Linked DNA regions of Mus musculus. The protein of the gene in region 2 interacts with the protein of the main gene of each other region in a pairwise test. Links are inferred from orthologs where the notes say so. Each region holds a gene or a part of one and is shown on either strand. Other genes may lie near its edges.

The links. The genes of interacting proteins can lie anywhere in the genome.
Region 1: the proteins of Fam161a (region 2) and Cadps interact in a two-hybrid assay, tested with the Homo sapiens proteins (2 studies listed by BioGRID). The two-hybrid records come from large-scale screens. The link is inferred for Mus musculus from reciprocal best matches to the Homo sapiens genes FAM161A and CADPS.

What each region holds. Positions count from the first base shown.
Region 1 is NC_000080.6:12,504,991-12,508,717, forward strand, and holds part of Cadps (calcium-dependent secretion activator 1), read right to left. Parts: intron 982-3,727; coding exon 794-981; intron 1-793.
Region 2 is NC_000077.6:23,006,908-23,011,146, reverse strand, and holds the start of Fam161a (protein FAM161A), read right to left. Parts: upstream 2,801-4,239; 5' UTR 2,707-2,800; coding exon of another isoform or gene 2,521-2,706; exon of another isoform or gene 2,516-2,520; intron 1-2,515. UniProt on the Homo sapiens protein: Involved in ciliogenesis.

The DNA of each region.
Region 1 (3,727 bases), on a different chromosome or scaffold from region 2:
TTCAAGACAGGGTTTCTCTGTGTAGCCCTGGCTGTCCTGGAACTCACTCTGTAGACCAGGCTGGCCTCAAACTCAGAAATCTGCCTGCCTCTGCCTCTTGAGTGCTGGGATTAAAGGCTTGCGCCACCACGCCCGACTTCTCCCATGGTTTTTATTTTTCATCACGTACACAAAATGCAAGCAACCATCAAACACTCCTGAAATGAACGGTAGTATCAACAAAGGCAAAATAGCGATCAGTTTCTTGCCAAGTTGGGCTGAGGGTATATATATATATATATATATATATATATATATATATATACACACACACACACACACACACACACACACACATATATACACACATATATATGTGTGTTCACAAGTAGCCTCTCAACTCCATGAGAAAACTGTCATTCCCATTTTATAGACCAGAAAACTGTAATTTTGAGAATTTAATTACCAACCAAGGTCACCGATTAAAAAAACAAAAAAGGAAAAAGCAAATACAAAACCAAAGCCCACCACGGATAATGATTGCTACCCAGACTGATTTAACTCGGGGCTCCCCTAGAAGGGCTGTTTGGTATTTCTTCACAGTTGTCTAAGGAAAGGAAATTAGTTTAGCATGCCTCTCTCCTCTCTCCCACCCACCCCATGTGTAGTTCCTCCCCTCCTCCAGTCTGTTTGTGCACTACTGGGTAAATAGGGATATATTGTGAGTTAGGGTCACTCTTTCAGGCAGAACTAGTTACAAACCACTGGAAGTTTCTTTTTTATCCTTTAGGAATACCGCTAGACCCATGCTTACCTGTTACCATGGACATGGGACGCGCAGAAGGCAAAGCTGTAGTGAAGAAGCGTGGGGTCAATCATCGCGCCATTTTCTGCTCGTTCCAGCAAGTCTCTAAGGTAGCAGAGATGCCGGTGACATCCTCGGACTCCATTTCTGGCGCAATACTCATCTAACACAAACACCTGGCCAGGACTGAACCAGCCCTGTAGGGAAATAAAGGAGAGACTTTCTTTTAAATGTTGCTTTTTGGAGAGGTGCTAGTATCAAGAGTGGCTAGAGGAAGGGACTGATAAACAGCCAGTGTTAACTCTTTTGATTGCAGGTGGGTAAATTAACTGAGCTCAGGGATGCCATGGGATATCAACACAATTGGTAGAGCTGTATCAGCAAGCAGCATGCTTCTAGGAAAAGAGAACAAGCAGGGCTCTGACATGTACTATAGGGGGTGAAGCTGGGGCAGAGTCTGGCAAGGGAAAATTGGGATACAAATGCCTTCAGTTGGTAGACAACTTGTGCTTGACAAATAGCTTTCAGCTGAGCCTTCTAGTAAGCCCGTGAGGTAGACAGGACTGGCACAGAGTCTGGGTAAGGAACCTGCTATTCACACCAGACCCAGCCCAGCTTCTACTCTGGGTCCGTCTGTTTCCCTATCTTCAGGCATAAAGGAAATTTAAGCTGGTTTACACATAGACTAAACTTTGTAAATCATTACACCTTAGAAGAAATTTTCAGTGCATTTTGAAATGAAGGTAATAACATAGCATCTAAATGGCTAGAGTAAGTAAGTTGCCTCGGATTCAATTGAACAAAAGAGAGAGATTTCTCAGGACTGCATCTATAGTCCCACCCTACCCCCTGCAATTATTTGTTTTCCTGTTTATATTTGCTCACCATGAGACCAGCCAAACCTTGCTGCAAAAGAGAATCCAGATGGAGTCTCTGATAGTAATTCAGCATCGTGATGGATAGAAACCCGTGTCTCTCTTATGTAACTGGAAAGACAGGTCCCTAGCAAGGCCAAGTGACTTGGCATTGAGGGTCAGTATGGATAGAGTCTAAAATCAAACCATGTTGTCTCATTTCCATACTACCTGAAGCAAGCAATAAATCAGTCCAGGTGGCAGTTTCTAGATTGGACATTTGGGCTCTTTTTAACAAACTTCATTTTTCTTTGAGGGTCTCCTATGAGGTTTGTTTGTTTTTTTTTTTTAATATTACTGCAGCTTGGATCGAAGGGATGAGGGAGTCAGTGATGTGGAACAGGGAGAGGCCAAAGGAGTCTGGAAGGGAGGGCTTTGCAAGGCTCTCATCTTGTATTAGGATCTGGGGATCTTCAACTGGCAACGTGCAGCTCAGCGATGCATCCAACGAAAGACGGCATCTTTCCTATTTCAAATTATAAGTTCCTCCAGAGGGCGGGAGAGTAGTTGAGGCAGTGGGCTGCCCCTATAGGCAACTTCTTTGCCACTCCATCTGCTACCCCAAATGCTAAATCTTAGAGACAACACTGCTGTGAAAGATTAAAATATATTTTCTACGACTCAGATGACACCAAGTCTTTTGTAGATGCCAAAATAGCTGCTTTGAAAAGAGTTGAAGAAATATCAATTAGGAACTGAGTCGAAGACACAGAAAAATTTATGTATCCCTGCTGGTCGGTCTCCAAAACCAACTGAAAAAAAAAAGACTGTACTAATGAGAAAAATGGAATAGAGAGATAGGGGATAAGGCCCTTTACATTTCTGTTATTTTCTGAAACTCTGGCCTTAATTAATAGATCCAGGTATATAATCAGGAAAGGGAGTTGTTCTGGGTCACTCATAATTATTATTTTTAAATTTGGACTATGTAGTTAAGCGTATAGTGATTAATGGGGAACAGGCATCAGTCTGTCATCTCCGGTTATATCTTTAGAGGGCATATATTAATTCTCCTTCGTGGTAAATTTCAGAATGAAAAAAAATTGTTTTCAAACACTGACGTGAACAAAAGTCATAAAAGGTGAAACCGTCTCAAAGTGTAAACATGTCTCACAGTGTTCATCACGTGAGAAGAGTTCCTGCTGAAAGGGTGGCAGTGCTGAGGCACACCTCACGACGGTCATAAATGTAATTAGAGATACACAATAGTAGGAAATCTGAGAAAAATGGACTTGCAATGCAAGGTAAGGTGTTTTGTTTTATTTGTTTGATTTGTTTTTGTTTTTCAAGTCAGTGTGGTGTTCCTTTCCAACTTGGCAAAGTAAGAGTCTCCAATGACGAGATTCTAAATGAGATAATGTGTCACTGTGAGCCATAGATTAATAAATTATCTTACAGAATCCCACTTCTATTTTAAGATGATTTTAACCTCTTTAAAAAACACACAATATCTTCAAGCAGCAAAAAAGGGGAACTTAAAATAATCATTCAGAATAAGGGTTTATGCTAATGTCAGTTAATTATATAATATTAATGTTACATAAATATATTAACTTTCATGTTTGAAGTCAAGGAGAAGAACTGCTCTCTGCATAAAATCATTTGATCATCTCCCTCCTTCTTTTCTGTCTACAAAGTAGGATTAGTAAGTAATATTTACGCTTAAATAAATTCATCATTTAGAATCTGAAAACAGAAATGAGCTGAATCTTTGTCATAGTTTGGGGCTTGATAGTTGTAAACCAAAAATGTGTTTTCAAAAATTGGATAAATATGTAACAGCAGTCTTTAAACTGAACTAATTTGACTGAGGGTTTAAAATGAGATTTCAGGGTATGTAAAAAACCCTGCTGGGTAGCTGAGCTTCTAAATGCCTACTGCACCTTTAAAATTTTTTCCTCAAGGGTAAACATGATTCTGAGTATAACAGAGAAGGTGTCACCCAAATAAACAAACCCAAATCCATTACAGTGGCAGTGGAGTGTATTAGCAACTGTCTCGATCTTTAGAAGTGACAAAAGCATTGTAT
Region 2 (4,239 bases):
TGTGTGAGAGAGAGAATGTGTGTGTGTGTGAGAGAGAGAGAATGTGTGTGTGAGAGAGAGAATGTGTATGTGTGTGTGTGTGTGTGTGCGAGAGAGAGAGAGAGAGAGAGAGAGAGAGAGAATGTGTGTGTGTGTGTGTACACCAGAGGTCAGTGACAGGCTTTTTGTCCCCTCAGTGACACAGATACAGACCAGATTAGACCAGATTAGAAGTAGATAAAGGCAGGTTTATTAGGAGGCTGCTCTCAGGTGGGCTCACTGATCTCACAGGTGTGAGAGATCCAGGCCAAAGCAAGGGGATCTTGTAGAGTTTAGGTTGGGAGTGCTGCCATGCTAGCTAGGAGCTGGGATTGTGTCCATGCATGGTCAAAAACTGAGCCCCCAAATGGGCACTCTTGGGCAGGCTGTCTGAAACTCAGAGACAAGGAGCGCTGACATGTTAGCTTGAGTATTCTCCAAGCAGACAGTGGAGATTTCTTTAGGTGGGTGGGGTTGGCAGGAGGGCAGATGTAGTTCCCCAGCTTGTGCAGGGGATAAGCAGGGGTTCCAGGCTAACATCCAATCTTAGCTGAATTCCCTAGCCACTGTCCACTTTATTTTTTGAGGTAGGGCTTTCAGCAAATTCCAGGAATCTGCCTGTTTCTTCTCTCTCCAGCACTGGGATTATAGACAAAAGCCAACACACTGGGTTTGTATTTGGGTGTTGGAAACCCAAACTCAGTTTATAACAAAAATCTTCAGTTAGCAGGGCACTCTGGAACATAAGTACAACTATACAAAGGACAGACCTTTCTGCCGTAGTAAGCCAAAGTATAAATCAATTTCCAAGTGAATTGTTCAAGCTGGCAGTTGTTACAATTACTACTAATTTATGTAAATTACTCTAGAAATGACACCCATTCTCTCCTTTGGTTCTTAATAACAACTGAATAAGGTGGAAAACGGAGACAATTATAGTCCTTTTATAGACAAAGAAACAGAAATCACGGCCTAAGATCACCCAGCACATAGAAGAAAACGGCTTCTGACCCGGGTCCAAGCTCTTGCCTTCCCTGGCATTTCACCTTCTGTAACCTATGACAGGCTGTGTTGAATGATTATCAGGTATAAACCAGTCCTAGGGTTCTGAACCTCATAGCTGGTTAGGCTCTGCTTCACTCTACATAACCTTGAAACATTTGCTACAGGCCAGGCCTGGGGCCCCATACGCTTAATCCCATTACTTGGAAGGTGGAGGCAGGAGGATCAGGAGTTTAAGGTCATCCTTAGCCACAAATAGCAAATTTGAGGCAATCCTGGACCAAAGGAGTCACTGTCTAAAATAAAACAAAAAAGCCGAGGATGTAGCTGTTGGTACACCACTTGCCTAGCAAGCACAAACCCTTCGGCCCACCCCAGCACTGCTAAGGAACAGGGTGTCGAGGGAGCGAGTGCCCGTCCTGGTGCTTTATCCCAGCAGAGTGCTGGTTTAAGTCCAAGGTTCCCGGCTTTTAAAGTGAATAAAAGCTGGGCGTTTTTATTACACACCTTTAAACTCAGGAAGCAGAGGTAGGCAGAGCTCTGTGTGTTTGAGGCCAGCCTGGACTACACAGAGTGAGTTCCAGAACAGCCAGGCTATGTCTCAGAAAACAAACAAAAATTTAAAAGGATGCTAAGATGTTTTAACTGTTAAGAGCACTTGCTGCTCTTGCAGGGGACCTGGGCTTGATTCCCAGCATCCATATGGTAGCTCACAACTCTCAGTAACTCCCAAGGCACACATTCATACACATAAATCTAAAAACAAACACACAAAATGAATAGAACAGATGAAGGAGAGGGGGTGGTTACATTCAAAATATACTGTATGAAATTTTTAAAGAATAAAAGCATTGCTGGAGAGATGGCTTAGTGGTTATAAGTACTGGTTGCTTTTCCAGAGGTAGAGATTATGTGTGTGTGTGTATAATCTCCTCCTCCATATATATCCTTCTGCTAGAAACATATAACACATCCAGGACATAATACTGAAAATGTTTTGTGAAAAGATCTCACTGCACCCATATCATCCCTTTAGGGAACTGGGATTTCGGCGGTTTGTTTATCTGGATGCTTCTCTACATCTGGAGCATCTGTCCACTGAACTTCAAACACGGTTTGCTAATGGACTGCTAAAATCCACTCCTAACAAAAACTGATAAAACACACTTGTCAGTACAACTTATCATCTGAAAGTTGATCTTTTATGAAAACTATGGGCACATCAGTTGTCTTCGGGGGGGGGGGGGGCAAAAATAAATGTAAAAATCAGAACTAAAAAATTATTTATTCCCAAGATATACTGGAGAATAAATAGGAAGTAGAGTTCTGTTCTTTGCATACTCTAGAAATAGCTATAAAAAAACCACTCTCCAATAAAGTTTTGCAGCAACCTTTAGTTGGGGCAGAGAGCAGGGAGGGTCTACAGAGGACACCGCATTTCCACCCGTCCTGCCCGAGACGATCGGACAGCCCTCAGACCCCTCCGGGCTCTCACATTACCGACGCCCGCATCTGCCACACTTTCTTCTGTTCCTCCTCCTCCATGGCCGCCGCCAACCCCGCTGCTACCAAGGACTCTAAGGAGTCTTCGCTTTCGTACTGGGCGACCCTTGCTCCGGTGATGGGATTTGCAGACAGGAGAAGGCTGGCTGCCGCCAGTCTGGCCTCCTGGTGCGGCGAAGCCATCGCCCCGCCTCCAAGCCCAAGCGCCCGCGCCCGCCCAGGGCGGCGTGCAGGCGCTGCCACCTAGCTCACAGATCCTGGCTTGGGGCGAGCGGTTACTAGGGGCTCGGTTACTAGGGACGCTACAGGAGGTGGCGACGGACCATAACGCACGCAACGTCCTTTTTCACTGTCACAAATGCGAACCCCGAGTCCAGCTAGTGTCTAATGATGGTTTCTGATACAAGCCTGCGGTTTCTAGAAGCATAACTGTCTGAAGCTACACAAACGACTACCACAGCAAGCTAAAGTAAAACGCAATCTTCAAGCTAATTGCTCAATGGGAGTCTCACCAGCGCCGGAACAATTACTGATTCACTTGAATGACACCCAGGTCTCCGGCAAGGGACTGAGCTTTTCTCTGGTTTCTAGCTTTATTTCTGTCTAACTACCTAAACGAGAACTTCTCGCGGTATACGGACTTAAAGCAGAAAGCGCGTTTTAACTAGCTGGATCAACATATTAGGGCACAGAGGGACAGGAAGGACCGGGTGTTGGGTGACCATCCCAAGAAAAGAACAGGCTTTGCAGCGCGCTATTCAACATGGCGGAGAACCCAGTTCATCTCTAATTGACAAGAACCAGCGGGTTGACCAATCAGAAGGAGAATACTTATTTGTCCCACCCTCTTTTTTCTCGACTGACCAGTAAGACACTAGACATAGGAAGTGTCTGTCACTCAGACCAGTGAGTGAGATGTGGTAGCTTGTCTAGCGGTTCTGCAGCTAGCTTAGCGGCAGATTAGAGGGGGCGAGAGCCTACAAGGACCACACCCTCCCAGCTCAGCCCTGCCAACCTCCTGATCGGCCTCAGGTTTTTGGCCACTTTGGATGCTTTTTCAGTGAACTCTCAGCCACCTGCAGCATAACACTTTACTTAGAACCCCAGCTAGCGCCCCTGTCCCCACCCTAAGGTTCCAGTACTTTCCACGTTATGCGGCACACCTTCCACAGAACCTGTTTCTGACGCAGTTGTTACCACCCCTTCCTTGTTCCCCTCTGCGAAGCACCTATCACCTTACCTTCCCTGCCTCCTGTTTCAAAACGGTTGAGCTTGCCTTTTCCAACGGAACTGATGATGGATACTGGTTGGTTCTGAAAAGCTAGATGTGGGGAGGGATCCATAGCCATCTGAATGAGAGAATAGTGACTTTCTGCCAGCCACATGCAACTAGTTCTGTGATGGGACTTGGTGTAAACAAGACCTATTGACAGACTGAAGCCCTGTAAGTGGGATGGTTTTAGGAACATGAAATAGTAAATAATGGATATGAAGGACATCAGTGTGTACATAGAATAGGAAAGTTTCGGCTGACAGTATTCTAAATTTGCAGATATCTATTAACACAGCTTTTAAAAAAAAGGTAGATCTGAAAGAAAATGGCACCATTAAAGTGCTTTTGCAGGCCAGCCAGTGGTGGCGTATGCCTTTAATCTTAGCACTTGGGAGGCAGAGGCCGAGGCCAGCGGATTTCTGACTTGGAGGTCTACAGAGTGA